Oreochromis niloticus: one gene and its partner. The protein of the gene in region 2 purifies or fractionates together with the protein of the main gene of each other region. This does not show direct contact. Links are inferred from orthologs where the notes say so. Each region holds a gene or a part of one and is shown on either strand. Other genes may lie near its edges.

Evidence for each region. The genes of interacting proteins can lie anywhere in the genome.
Region 1: the proteins of trpc1 (region 2) and cav1 purify together in Homo sapiens (affinity purification with western blotting; 3 studies listed by BioGRID and IntAct, with this or other methods). This does not show direct contact. The link is inferred for Oreochromis niloticus from reciprocal best matches to the Homo sapiens genes TRPC1 and CAV1.

What each region holds. Positions count from the first base shown.
Region 1 is NC_031972.2:41,354,042-41,361,323, reverse strand, and holds the start of cav1 (caveolin-1), read left to right. Parts: upstream 1-4,280; 5' UTR 4,281-4,570; coding exon 4,571-4,606; intron 4,607-5,576; coding exon 5,577-5,744; intron 5,745-7,282. UniProt on the Homo sapiens protein: May act as a scaffolding protein within caveolar membranes. Forms a stable heterooligomeric complex with CAV2 that targets to lipid rafts and drives caveolae formation. Mediates the recruitment of CAVIN proteins (CAVIN1/2/3/4) to the caveolae.
Region 2 is NC_031974.2:17,252,291-17,259,915, forward strand, and holds the start of trpc1 (short transient receptor potential channel 1), read right to left. Parts: upstream 3,021-7,625; 5' UTR 2,264-3,020; coding exon 2,098-2,263; intron 1,280-2,097; coding exon 1,125-1,279; intron 1,039-1,124; coding exon 937-1,038; intron 819-936; coding exon 616-818; intron 1-615. Other genes in the region: chst2b (carbohydrate sulfotransferase 2), read left to right, coding at 6,061-7,458. UniProt on the Homo sapiens protein: Forms a receptor-activated non-selective calcium permeant cation channel. Forms a heteromeric ion channel with TRPC4 or TRPC5 that has reduced calcium permeability compared to the homomeric TRPC4 or TRPC5 channel.

The DNA of each region.
Region 1 (7,282 bases), on a different chromosome or scaffold from region 2:
ACTGCAGGCTAACCTGCTGAACCTTTAAATCAAAAATCTGAACGCTGTATGATGCAATGCTTTGTTTCAATGCATTTTGTTGGCTTTGTGTTCAGCTCTTGGATAACCTTTAGAGTAGAGTTGTACAACTGAAAGTGGAAGACAGTTGTGTGCAGCAGTAGCATTAAACCACCACGTTTCATCTGGGCTTTTTATTCTAGCGCAGGCTTTATATTCATTAAAGACAAAAAGGTTATAATACTGTAAGATATTCACTTGTCACTAAAGTAAAACTACTTTTAACAGTAATCATGCTACTTTTATGAGTTTGACTTTAATTTTTCTGGTTACTGTTTTACACAATATTGACACATTTTGGAATGAAACTCTTATTTTAACAATAAATATGTCCTTCATGACGAAAATAAAGGTCTTTTTTCCTTAAGGTAATTCTTCTGTGTGTGGTTTCTTCTTTCTGTCACAGAAGATGAGTGTGGCTGGGATGTGCAGGTGAGTGCCAAAATGGTCTCATAAATCACTTTGCTGAGATTTCATAACACACTTTCCTATACAAAGATGAGCTGTGCGTTGATGGAACATGACCTGAGGCGTTGGCTGTTAGACTTGCACGCCTGCATGGCATTAACATTCATAATGCTATGCAGAAGTTTTTTGTTTGTTTGTTTTTTTATGAAGAGTATTCTCTTATCCAGACATTCATGATGTTCCCCTTTGACCAAATGAAGAGACTCGAACACAGTTCTCTCTTAAACTCTGTCCATCTACAGCTGAGTTTTTAAATTAAATATTTTGAGGTGCAAGTTGATCTGTTGTGTCTGGCATTTCTCTTTTTGTCTGGTAAATTCCTTCAGCTAGCCAATCACAGCCCAGCCTGAAACAGAACGCTGTATTATTGTGTAATTACAAGGAAATAAAAGGAACGTGCACTGAAATTGTTTTCTGGTGTGTTTCAGCAACCAGTGCCTAAAACAAGCCAAAGAGGTTCTTCACTTTGACCTTTTGACCTCCAACTCTTGTTCTTGGTGGATTAAATCAACCCAGAACATAAGCAGCGTAAAGATAGATAAGCACTGATGCTCATATTCACAACTACAACCACTTATTGTATTCGTTTGGACTGTGGAAGGAAGCCAGAGCACCTAGAAGAAGATCCATAGGGACATGGAGTTGAACATGCATACTGCACACAGAAAAGCCCCATCTGGCTGTTGGATTTGAACCCAGGACCTTCGTGCTCTGAGGTAATGGTGCTAAGCACCACACCACTGTTGCTGCCCTATGCGTATGATGCAATGTAAAAATGTCATTTCATATATGTTTGAAAAAGCAATAATTAAAAAAATGATCCTGCATTGACCTGATGCCCTTATGGCTATTTTTATTCTCCTATCACAGTTAACCCCGTTCTGATACTCAAGAATTTCTATTACTATTGTTTCCATCAAATTTTGCGCAAATGCAAATTATAGTAAGTTTGCTTGTGATTTCTTAGCAATCGACACTAATGAGTAATGAACCCAGTTGCTGTTCCATATCCTCATGACTTTTACCTCTGGCTCTGGTACCTGATGAGTTGTTTGAGATTCTGTCCTCTCAGTGTTCTGAGTGGCAATTAAGTGTTTTTAATATTCTTCGTATCATCTGAAATTTGCCACAGTTCACAATGTTTTTTGCACCTCAGCTTACATAAACAAAGTCATGCTAGCGCATAATGTGCAATCTCATTTGCACAAATGTTTCTTGTAAATTTGCTAATATTTTCCGCAGTGTTAGTAGCAGTTTGTGTAAGCTTCTCTTCCAGGCTTCAGCAAAGTAACATCTTTGTTTGAAGCAGGTGCTCATTTGGTTATTTTGATCTCACTTCGGTGCCACACCCAGTGAACTCAAGGAGGCTAACCAGGTGTTTATTCATAGAATAGCTTTCTAAAAAAAAAAAGCCAAAAAAAAGCATTAGAGTAGTTCAGAATAAATGAAAGCAAGAGGAAAAAACTGAAGTCTACAAAACCTTCATTGGTGCACTCTTTTATCTTAACATTATGCGCCAAAAAAGCATTAGTGCTTCAAGTTTTTAAAGATAATTTTATTTGGTGTCTTGTGTGACTTTATACATCTGCACTTGACTATAGTTGTATTAAACTGGAACCAACACAGTCTTGTATCCCTACATGTTCAAATGTGTCCACTTGAACTCATTTCCACTTGAATTTATTTAAGAATTTTATACACCTGCTTATTGAAATTTTGAGTAAAACAATCAAATTGTCCCTGGTGAGTTTGGTCTAAGGTATTTATTCATTACCATACAGATTTGAGCATTTATGCATTACTTTTAGCCTTTTCAACAATTTAGACTTATGCTTATACTATTTAACTTCTAAATGCAGTTTAAACATTACTGAAATATTTTCTGCTTACAATATATATTTGTCATGGTTCTGGGTCTGTGACCCAGCTTTCTGAGTTTTGCCGTGTTTTGAGTTTTCTGTGAGCTCGTTTTGTTTTGGATTTTGAGATACAGTTTATGTTCTAGCTCTGCATCTAGTCCTTTCAGCATAATGTTTCCTTGTGCTTCTTAGTTTCCCTTTGTTTCCAGTCTGTGTTTCTCATAAGATTATGTCATCTTTTGTTATCATCTTTTGTGTTCCCTTTCTCCTCAGTCAGTCATGTCTCTGCATTTATCTCCTGCCGCTGTGTGAAGTTCACGTGTGTTGGTCTCAGTGTTTGTTGCTTCCTGTTTTATTCTGATAGTCACTCATCTCCTCTAGGTTGTGTTATTTTTGCTTCCCATTGTCTCCTTAGATTCCATTCAGCTGTGTTCCCTGGTGTTTCCTATCTCCATAATTACCTGGTGTGTATGTTGCCTGACTTTCCCTTTGTCTTCTGCCAAACTGTGTGTTTCTTCCTCCTGTGTCTCAAAGTTAGGTTTCTCTCTTTGTTCATTCTTCGTGTTACGATTCTTAGCAATAAAGCTGCTTTTGAGTTTTACATCTGGCTTTCTGAGTCCTGTGTTTGTGTCCAACCCTGCCTGCCACACAGCAATATTTTCTCCGCTATTATGTTCAACTAATAATTTTTCAGTAATGGTTAGGTCTTGTAATAATTCATCAATAGCTTTTGGCCTATAGTTTAATCATTCATCACTTTATCTGCTTCTACTGTGTGGAGATACTATTAGTTATTACTGTTATTAATAGAATTGTTTAATTACGAGAAAATATTCATCCAGTTTTCCCAATTACTCATCAGCTTTAATCATTTCTGCCTCCCTTGTTTATAAATAACTTTCAATGAATTAAAAATGGTTTTAATTTTTATTAATTTGTATTATTTTCTTTCTTACTCCTTAAGTTCATTCGTGTTGCTATCACAAACAAATGCTCACCATTTTTGTTTGTAATAGTTTATTTGCACTACAATCATCAATAAACAATTGAAATTAAGTTCCTGGAGATAGAGTAGATAAAGGCTGACTTGTTTGTCCCAATTCAACAAAAGTTTGGCTATGACAGCGTCAACTTCTGGGTTTTCTCATAAAGTCCTACAGTATAACTGATCCAGTGTCATAGCAAAGTATTGAAATTAAATTACAGAATAATTACAGAATAAAGATAGTAAATGAATAGCCCAGAGTTAATAAGAAATAAGGTGCTTCTCAAAATAAACAGCAAAGAGGAGTTCCTCTTCCGTTAACTGAGATAAGCTTTCACACTGAGGAAGGCAAGAGCTGACATCTCTGTGCATGTCGCTCTAAACCTAAAAGCAAATGAGAGCTTTGAAAAATGTGAAAACAACTTCATCATCGTGCCAACCCGTTTCTTTTATTGACACGCCAATCAGACGCACCTAAAATGTGTTTCTCTCGCAGTCCCTCTGGCTGAAAACAGCAGGGTGCCAGCTGGCGTCTCTCCACGATGAGCTGACACAAGAATGTAAACAGACCAGAGTGGCCAGCACGACTTCACAACCTGATGAAGCTGACACCTTGAAAAACTGGGTTCACTAACCAAAATATAAATGTGATCTTATGAAGCAGCTGATGACAGGCGTGATTTTAGATGTGCTGAAATAGCTGAACTATATATTTCTTTCTTCCCTCTATCCATTATAACCGCTTGGATTTTTTCCCCCGTAGGCTAAGGTATGGCAAGTGTCCACACCTTGCCAGGTTCAATTAACTCCCACGTTTCACTGAACAAAACACTTATTATACTCTGCTGTGATCCCTAAATAAGAAATTCCATGCCGGCTACAAACACCCTTTCAGTCTGAGATCACGTCAGTCTCTCCTCCAGCCGAGCAGGTTCCAGGGTGGCTCTCCTGTCTGCTCACTGGTGACTACCCAGCTGCGCTCTGCGGTATCCGAGGAAACACTGGAGGTTTCCCCGTACGCGCTTGTGCATTGAATTTTAGTCACGTCCAACAAAAAGGGCAGGAATAACTTCACTATACAGGACTCTGAGAGAAAAGACCCCGTCCTCCCAGTTTGCATCCACGCCTCCCTCTCTGCTTCCTATATTATCTTTTTTTTTGTCTGTTTCAACGTGCTAATCTCTCCAAACGTGAGGACAGCATGACAGGAGGACTGAAGGACGGCGAGACAGAAGAGGTACAGTATAGCTCTCAGCTATAGTTCTTTTAATTTTTGGTTGTTTGTTTGTAGCTGACATTTACTTTTCTTCCAGGAGCTGATTACCCCCCCTCAAAAAAAAAAAAAAAAAAAAAAAAAAAAAAAAAATGCGTTCACGAGGGAAAAATGAATGCGCTATGTTTCAGTCCTTATCTTGCGCTCTGGCACCCAGTCATGAGCACTTCTCCCACACAGGCTAAGAGAATGACAAGGTCGATGCAGTTTACATTAGAATGTGGGTGTGAGGATTTTACCTGCTAAGTCCTCTTTCAGCACAGTAACCGATTATTTACGCACAAACATTTAAAGTGTACATTTCAATGCGTTTAAAAAAGGAGGAAACAAATCCAGTTTTTACCGTAAAATTCTGAATTTCAGTCACAAATCTTCCCTGTCCTTTAATACCAACTGAGATCGTGTGGTGTGCGTAATAATATAAGGTGCTTGCCTCGTAGGATTGAGGAGGATCATAAGCGCTAAAGGGGTCTTTACGTATTTTTAAAGGATAAAAACACAAGTCCAGTAAGTTATTGCATACTTAATGTGAACATATTACAAATGACATTGCAAATATAACTGAATTCGTGATTTTTCTTTTACTTTCTAAATATATATTTTTGGTGTAGGAAGAGTATTAATTGGAAATTCTTTCATATTTAAAAATAACGCCTTTGCACCTTTCTTAAAAGTGTTTCATTGTCATGGGTAGACTACACGTTGAATCAACTGTATGTCATGTTAACATACTGGATTAGTGTCTGGGTGGTGAGGACCCCTTGCGGCTGGATGAAGGGGTGTGGTACTTTACTTTCTATTCACTTAAACCCATCCCTGTTTGTGGGGAAGCCTGGTAACTTGCAGCTCCAGTCGCTCTCTCTCTCAGCGCGCTACACACTATTCCTTCTCCTCTTCACCCTCTTCTCCTTCTGTCTCCCCCGGATCCTTGCAGGAGTTTCTGCATTCGCCGTTTATCCGAAAACAAGGGAACATATATAAACCCAACAACAAAGACATGGACAACGACAGTCTCAACGAGAAAACGATGGAGGATGTCCACACCAAAGAGATCGACCTGGTCAACCGGGATCCCAAACACATAAACGACGACGTTGTTAAGGTGAGTTAAACCTCAAAATTGGTAACTTGTGAGATTCATGTTTTTTCGTCCATGGCAACCGAAACCACCTGTTGCCGAGTTTACACAGGGCTTAGCTGTATGACAGGCGCTGTAAACTGAAATAATCTCTGATAAACGATGTCCATTTTATTTCTATGAGCTGTCAAACAGGTTATCTGCGCGTCGGACACGCATGCAGTTCTTTTGCGCACCTTTGCTATGCTCCGTGCAAGTGTTACCACTCAGTGTCTTCCCCTATTAGGAAGAAGCTTTGCAAACGTATTAAAGATCATTGAGCGGCGGCGATACAATGGCATGCAGTGCCCTTCTGCACATTTGTTTGTGGAGTGGGTTTGAAACGTGAACGTCCCAACTTCGCTCCAACAGAGGAAACATAACCAATTTCCTGTTGTTGGAACACACATTTCCCACAGTCCTCCCTGCACACGCCTGTCTAATGGGAAAGTAGAATTCTGTACATAACAGAGAAGCCTGGTCGGATAAATACTCAGTATTTATTTTTGTTAAAAGGATTTAGCACAGGGAGAGATGTTATAGCGGCAAAGGAGTGGTGCGCTGCAAGCCACCTGACTCATCTGTGTGGGAGAGAGGAGCTGCAGCCGTGTGCGCCCGGCGGTGCTCCTCTCCAGCTGGTGCATCTGGTTACATCAGAGTGGGGTCAAGCAGCTCCCTGCGTGTTCAGGAAGGGTCAGATCTTTGAAATGCCTGAACTCTGCTTTGTTAAAACAGGGAAACACCCAAGTGGGCGATTAGTCTGAGGGGATCCCTCACCACTCCTTATCCTCCCTTCTTTCCTCCCATTCTGCCACTGCCCCCTCCGTTTCCTCCCCGCATGCCTGTAGTTGCGTCAGAGAAGTGAGTCCATTTGTTTCTTTTTCTTGGCGAATACAAGGTTTTCAGTAGAAATGAGTGCCCATCGCTGCTGAATTAACTAATCAGACCATAACTACTGAACATAACCTTTCTCTTTAAAAAAATACATACATGTGGTAAAGTTTCATCCCCTGCCAAATTGACTGATGAAAACATACTGACAGAGCATTTTGATTAAAACAACTATAATGCACATATACAAGGAATGCATTAAAAATGTTGTGCTCATTTAATTTTCTGTTATTACATGACACTCATTTCACATACAACCTGCCCAAAAAAGTACATTTTGTCTTCCATTTCTCGTTAAATATTTGAAAACACTTCGTTTTTATGGAATTTATCACTGTCTGAGAGGCATGTGTGTCACTGCCAGTTTGTGCATTTTTCCCATATGACGCACAAGTCTACATAAAATGTGCTATGAACATGATGAATTTCCATTTTTGTACGAGAAAGGAAGCTTTTTCAAAATATTTGTTGCTGGGTTTGGAAAGAAAAAGTCTCTTATTCTCTAGTTTTTCTGGTTGCTGCTTCTATCCCAACGTCTTCCACCACTCTCTGGCTGCTCTCTCCCTGCTCTCCTCCATTGTGACAGTGAGTCAGACTCTCCTTCCAGTCTCAGAATAGAATGCAGCTTCACG
Region 2 (7,625 bases):
GAGGCCACACTGCCCTGCACAGAGAAAAAAAAGGCCCCTGCGGAAGAGATCAGCAAAATCTCATCTGCAAGTCCGAGAAGGTATCAGAAACCAAGAACTCCTTCTTCCCAGAGGAACTGCTGCTGTTTTGCTGTTTTCCCTTAAATTAGAGTTTGTATTGATTTTGTATTTCAGTAAAATACCAATACTGACTCCCTACAGCTAGATCAGTCGAGCTTGACAATAACAGAGAAAATCTGGAGTCCTCTCGGGGACAAAGAGGATATTTTGGGCATTCATAGGACTGTAAAAAATGGCTAAAGCATTCCTAAAACCCAGTGTGTCATATCATTGACTAAATCATCGACTTCTAGGAGTAGCAGACTGGATTTTCAACCTGATGCTGTCAGTGAAACAAGAGGCTGCAATGTTTCACAAAAGCCACTTTACTTGGAGCAAAACTGGGTTGATTTGTTGGGTCAAAACAATCAAAACATCACCTACAAAACAGAAGTAGTATCGACTATTCCAATTTAAAGTAATTGACCAAAAAAATAGTCCTCTGGGGCTCTTAATGCACTCGTCTGCACAAAGTCAATGCTACTTAAGTATTTTGTGAGCTCTGGGTAACTGTACCTGGAGTGTCGTAAGCTGTCCTTCTTGTTTTTAACATTGCAGAGCGTGCACTCACAGCCAACAGCGTGAGGCCGGGGGAGAGAGATGTCCTGCTTGAGCAGCATGGTCAGGATCTCGTAGTTGTTCCTGTGGGCTGCCAGGATGACTGGAGCCACATCCATGGTGGTGGAATACTCTGGATTCTGGATGCGCTGCATCAGTTTCTGACAAGAGCATGGATTAAAAAAAAAATCTAAAATACTGTAGGGGAATTATAGATAAGCAAGTTTTTGCCTTAATGGTGTTTGTTTTCTTGAAAAAGAGTAATAAGAGCAGACTTACAGCAATAGAGGGCTTAGAAGATCTCCTTGGCCTGTGGTTAAGGAGAATGTCCACAGCTCCTACCACCTCTGAGTCTATGGCCACCAGCAAAGCATCTGTTGCCTACACAGAAAGAAATGCACGATTTTAGTGATGTAAATGATGTCTTGTGTATATTATTTTGCCCCAAGTCTGTGCTTTCTCGTTACCTGGCAGCCATACTCCAAGAGCAGCTGAAGGATGTCCAGATTCTCATTCTCGATGGCGATGGTCACTGCATCTCGGCCCAGCACGTCCACACAGTTGATGTTGAGCTCGCCGTGTCTGTTCTCCTCCAGCAGTTTCTTCACCATGTAGTAGTCACCTGAGAAGCAAGTCAATGACAAAGCAGCACATCATAAATGTGATCCACCTTGGCAAGTTCTCACAAAGGCGGATCCTTTGAAGAAGCGAAGCATTAGTCTAAGCGCGGTGCCAAAACGACACAAACACACAGCGCCGGTTATCAGGCGAGCTCTCTCAGAGAACAGGCTCGGCTCCAGCGGCAACCCTTAATCTTGTGTAACAATAACATCTCCCTCAAAGGACAATTTCTGTTGCTGGGCCACGTTTAGGGAGACTTTATATGGTCACAGTGGCAGTTATTGGCTTAGCACACCTCTGCCTGTACAATGTTCTCAACTTATCAATGAAATATTCTCCCGCCACGGTGACCAGTTGAGAAAACCCATGCCTCTTTGTTATTTTACACTTACACTGTCCACGTCTTGCCTTGCTGGCATTTAGCTTGTTTGCATGAACTTTCCATGTTGGGGTTTGTGAAACGTCAGGAGACCAGGGAGCGAAACTTAAAGTGGAGCAGACATTTAACTATTAACTGCCCCTTGGGTAAATTTCCACAGTATCCAAAGTGTGGGCAGCTGTGAGTGGTATACACTGGAGTGGGGGGATCTGTAATGATTGAGTAGTTTGCCAGCTGCTAAATGAGCCTGTATGACATCTGCCATGCTGTCACTCCGTGTGCGCTCTACCTCCTATATCAGACATGTAGCTTCAGCATCCCTAATGATCACAATAACGAGCTTCCCTCAGATCGTAGTCACGTGTTGCACGGACATCCCATTGCATTGCAAACAGGGAACAACAGCCCAGATATTAAATTAGACGAAACAAGAGCCAAACCTTTCTCGCATGCCAGCAGGAAGAGCTTCTCGTCCAGAGTCGTCTCCTCTTTCACTTCTCTCACGTCTTTCAAGGCCAGGAATTTGTCCGGAGAGGAAGCGTCCGTGCCATGGTACAGAGCTGCCATTACGACGGAGAGCGAGTACGGCAAGACGCTGATGTGCATCCCACTAGAAACCGACGACCATTACACGAGAAATCCCGTCATATGCGATGACATGTGAGGAATGCTTCTGTAGTTGCGCAGCAGAGGTTTAAAGCGGCCGACTTAAACCAGTGTCAGTAATCGCTGGCATTACCGTCCCAGCTCCGGTGCGTGCGCTTTTCCCTTTTTGGGGGTTAAAATATCGCCTCCTGTAGCCCTTTTCGCACCATCGATCTCAAACGTGGGGTTAAAAAGTGTTCACGGCGACGGCAAGTAGACGAAACAACGCGGTCATTTCTCGCGGCGTGTTTACAAGCACCATCTTCTCACTCGCATCGCAGTGGTCCTGATGCTGCTGGCGAGGCGTGCACTGCGCATGTTTCCTCCTCCACCTGCTTGATCGTTTCGCAGGCGCAAAGCCTCTTCTCCGTGATTACGTAACAGTGCATCTTTGCCGTGTACAGTACACTGTGTAGATTCACAGCGTGTGAGCGTTCACTGTGACAGTGCATGCACATGTGCTGACTCTGAAGCATGCACGTAAACTGCACACACACAGCACGTTAAGCGCTAAAGACTGGGAGATAAAGACAGAAATCAGCAATGGTTGTGGCTCCTGCTCAGGTCACTTCCTGCAGTAATGTGGAAGTCCTGATGGAAATGCTGTGTTGGGACATGCATGGGTGACATTTAGTGCACATGGATATGGATATGGCGGCATATGGCCTCACATAATCCGTGACAGACTCTTAGGAAATACATCTGGTATCCTGATTCAGTGAAATCTCTTTATAATTATGCTGAAATGTAAACGTGTCTGTGTTTAAAGCACCTTATGTCAGCTTCTGTTGTTTAAATGTTCTATAGCCTATAGATGAAGTAAACAGTGATAACAAAAAAACATTTTTCATAGTGGATCTCTTGGATATACGTTTTATTTCCAAAAAAGTATTTTACACAATGAGTGGGCTATATTGCACTTAACAGAGAGAAACAAAGTATCAGTCATATTGCACTAGTATCTGATACTATCATTGTTTTCGAGACTTTTGCTTTTGGAATCAATCCACCCACTTTTAACAACCTGCAAAGAATATTGCTAAGAAATGCTGTAACCACTGAAAGAAAGGGTTTAATATGGACTGGAATACAGTTTTAGGGCACATGTACTTCATTCAGTTCATTCACTACAGAAAAGCAATGAAGAAGTGAAATCAAAAGAAAGCACAAAATGTAACAAGCCTTCACATCCAACTCAATAAGCCATAATGAAGTGACAGTGAGTCAGCGTGCTTAGTGATAAAGCATTGATAATTAATGCTCAGCTCTCTTATGCAGGCCGAGTAAAGACCAAGATTATTATTATTATTACATTTGAAATCAGATGTCATTAAAGACGACCTTTGGTTTTTCTATAAATGTAACACAGTTGGCTTCTAAAATGTAGAAAGGTCTTTGTTTCTTTCTTTTAAAAAAATAAGAAATGTGTGAATATTGAATATTGGCTTGCAAATCATCACCACACACATTTCTGATGATGTAAGCCAAATATATTACTTTACTCACCACGCTCAGCACTTGCACTGCCAAACAGAACAAATACCATGCACTGAAACAGAAGTAATTTCCTGGGCGGGTTTCTGTCACTGTGTGAATACATGTTGAAAATAGGGCGTGGAGGGAAACGTGCACTTTCAGTATTCTCTGCTGTGTTTTTGAGTTCACTGTTTGACTTGATACAAGAAAAACACATTCAATGAAGGGCTCTTTGCTTTCCAACGGCACCGAATCCTAATATGGCTTTTGTTGTATGAAGTTTTATAAACATCTGTAAAATGCAGGTGGAATGAAGCGGTTGCACAGTAGGAAAGGTTTCATATTAAAAACAAGCTTCCTTATAAAAGAATAAGATTAAACGATTTTTCTTAAACCAAGCTCCATTAACACCATACACTTATATTTTTATCTATATGCTTGCACACTGAAAAACGAATATAAATTAGTATGTCATATGTATGATTAATATATTTGTTCATGATGTGGAAGTCTGCTGTTAAGTAGATCCTTTTTAAGGGTGGGACCTCAATGCTCCAGCAGAGGGCAGTCTGCACAAAGGTATTTCGCTGTAGACACCCGCATTGGATGAGAAAATAAAAATGAAGATATATTGAAAGCACACGTTACCGAGAACAGGAAGGAAATACTGTATAGTCAACACAAAGCCTAATATGTCGCTCTTCAGAAGGACTCACTCCATGCACAGCACTTGAGCAGGGCTTGATGAGAAACAGTATAGTAAAATCACAACGGGGATATTACCCTACATATTTAGAGGCTCCTCGCTGGGGAGGGTCAAGGGACTCGAGCGGTTTCAATTCATTCAGTCTATGCTCTCCCCACCCCGCTTGTTCAAGGTTGTAATGCCGCACAGGCAAGCGTCTTAGGAAAGATGATTTTCAATCTGCAGAGCATGTGTTTCCCTTCATACAACCACATGGCCTTTCCAGTTCCCGGGGAACAGCTGTCAAATGTCCCATTTCAGCTGATTCCACTTGAGAGGAGTGCTTGTCACTGCCGCTGAGTGTTTCTATCACGTCCAATGAAAAATTATTACATCCTCTACAATCATACTGTAGTCCATCACTCTCAGATCAGTTTAAAATTCAAGTGTTTCTATTTTTTAAAAATTAGATTTCATCTTATTAGATAAATAATTCAGCGGTATGTGCATAGCTCTTTTGTAATGAAACAGGGTTTTTCTTTGCTGCTTTTAAGACAAACCCCGGGCTACCCTCTTGTGGCTGTAGTGAGTGGGGGGGGGGGCTAATACATTTAATTTGAAATATTGATTCTCTCCTGCAGTCACACACGATGAGGAGGACGTGGGTAAAAGGAAAAGTAAAGACTGGCTTTGGAATAAAACCACGGCCTTAAGACTTTTAAAAAAAAAAAGAAATACTAAAAATAGGTTGTATATCGAAAAAAGGGAACAAAAAAACAAAACAGAAAACCCGCCAATCGCTTTCAGTGGGTAGAGACAAGAGGCCGGAGCACGGTTCAGACAATGTGAGGTGGACTTCACCTAAACATAACAACAGCACCGCCACCATCCATCCCCCATGCCCTCCTCATCTACCGTTGCTGTGATCTGTCGGAGCGTCCATTAACGTGACGGGCTCGCAGTAGGTCCAATGACGTAAGCTGGCTGACGAGCGTCGGCTCGTCTCGCTCCAATGCGCTCTCTCGGAGGGCGGGTCTTGGTCCTGCTATTCAGATTGAATCGGCCCAGTTTGTATTAGTTGGACGAGCAGAAGAACGAGACGGAGAAACGTGTAAGAGCCCTAACTGCGAATAAAAGCGTTTCTCTGCTCCATCATGGCAGCTGCGGAGTAATTTTGAGGATCCGGCCCGTCGCACGGAATCGTGACCGACGCCCGAATCCACCGCATTTCTGAGGATGTTTCAGCTGGTAATTGCGCGAGGATGCTTCCGCTGAACGTGCCCAAACTGGGCGTCTGTTACAATGCTGAAGGCTTCTTGGTTTTTGTTTTGAACGCGGGCCAAACACAGAATCACTGCAACGCCTGATATGGACAACTTTAACGCTCCCCTCTTCTACCATTTCTATGACGAACATTGCGCAGTGCAGTGAAAAGGCTATATCGTTTCGTGGCTGTCGAACTGGTGCCGAATACATTACCTAATTCATCTGGTTGTTAATTCCCGGTGCAGCCCATAAACACACTACCGAGCGTGTTGGTGCACAGTCAATGTAAGGAGCTTCGTCCAGCGGTGAGAGCCACTCTCCGAGGTTACAGATGAGAGGCAAACAATATCATCAACCACTAAAGTTGACAGCGCCTTGGGAGAAGGATGCAGGCTTTGGAAGGAAGCTTAAAACATACAGGAATCATACCAAGATAATAGCACAGCCTGGGATCGTGATGAAAGTGCTACGCAGAAAGAGGATTGTGTTGTTTATGGCCTATTTGTTACTGCTCGTGCTTACTATGCTTAACTTGGCTAATTATAAATGGACTAAGGAGCCGCAGCAGTGTAATCATCAGATGAGGAGCACCACTTATCAGAGCAGATCTGACATTCGCTTCCTGTACAGGCCCTCTCTGGCTAAGAAGAGGCAGCTTATCTATGTGCTGACCACCTGGAGGTCAGGCTCTTCCTTTTTTGGGGAGCTGTTTAATCAAAATCCAGACGTGTTCTTCTTGTATGAGCCAATGTGGCACATCTGGCAGAAACTGTACCCCGGTGATGCCGTGTCGTTGCAAGGGGCGGCCAGGGACATGCTTAGCTCCTTATACCGCTGTGATCTGTCTGTTTTCCAACTTTACAACAGCCCGGGAGGTAAGAATTTCACCTCCCTCGGACTGTTTGGGGCCACCCTCAATAAAGTGGTGTGCTCATATCCCCTCTGCTCAGCCTACAGGAAGGAGGTGGTGGGGATGGTGGATGATAAGGTGTGTAAAAAGTGTCCCCCTCAAAGCCTTAGATTGTTAGAGGAAGAGTGCCTGAAATATAGCACCATAGTCATTAAAGGGGTCCGCATATTGGATGTAAATGTGCTGGCCCCGCTTATGGAGGATCCGTCCTTGGATTTGAAGGTGATACACTTAGTCAGAGACCCACGGGCAGTAGCCAACTCCAGGATCAAATCCAGACACGGTCTGATAAGGGAAAATTTACAGGTGGTCCGCAGCAGAGACCCCAAACTCCGGCGGATACCTTTCGTGGACCCTGGGCACAAAGCTAACAAGAAGGATGGCTCAGACTACCACTCCATTGGAGCCATGGAGGTGATCTGCGACCGCACTTCCAGGACTTTGAGGACTGCCATAAACCCACCCAGCTGGCTGAAGGGGAAGTACATGGCTGTACGTTACGAAGACCTGGTCGAAAACCCAGTTAAGACCCTGAGGAGCGTCTACCGCTTTGCCAACCTCACTACCAACCATGACATTGAGATGTTTGCTTTGAACATGACCAGTGGCTCCAGTTCCTCATCTAAGCCATTTATAGTCTCCTCCAGGAATGCCACACAAGCTGCAAGTGCATGGAGAACAGTGCTCAGCATCCAACAGATCAAACAAGTGGAAGACTACTGCCACCACTCCATGTCAGTTCTAGGTTACGAGAGAGTGAGAACAGCCGGGGAGGCCAAGGACTTGAGCAAATCACTACTGACACACTCCAGACTGTGAAAACATCCTCACCACCAAAGACCATTTAATTTAATGTTCATTTTGCATACAGTGCTGTTTCCTTATATTGTGGAATTAAAGCTTTACTTTGAATCAATGTTCCTGGATCTACATCGGCCGCATTTGGAATGTACCGTCAGTCGAGCGGTTGCAGCTCCGTTCAAAGG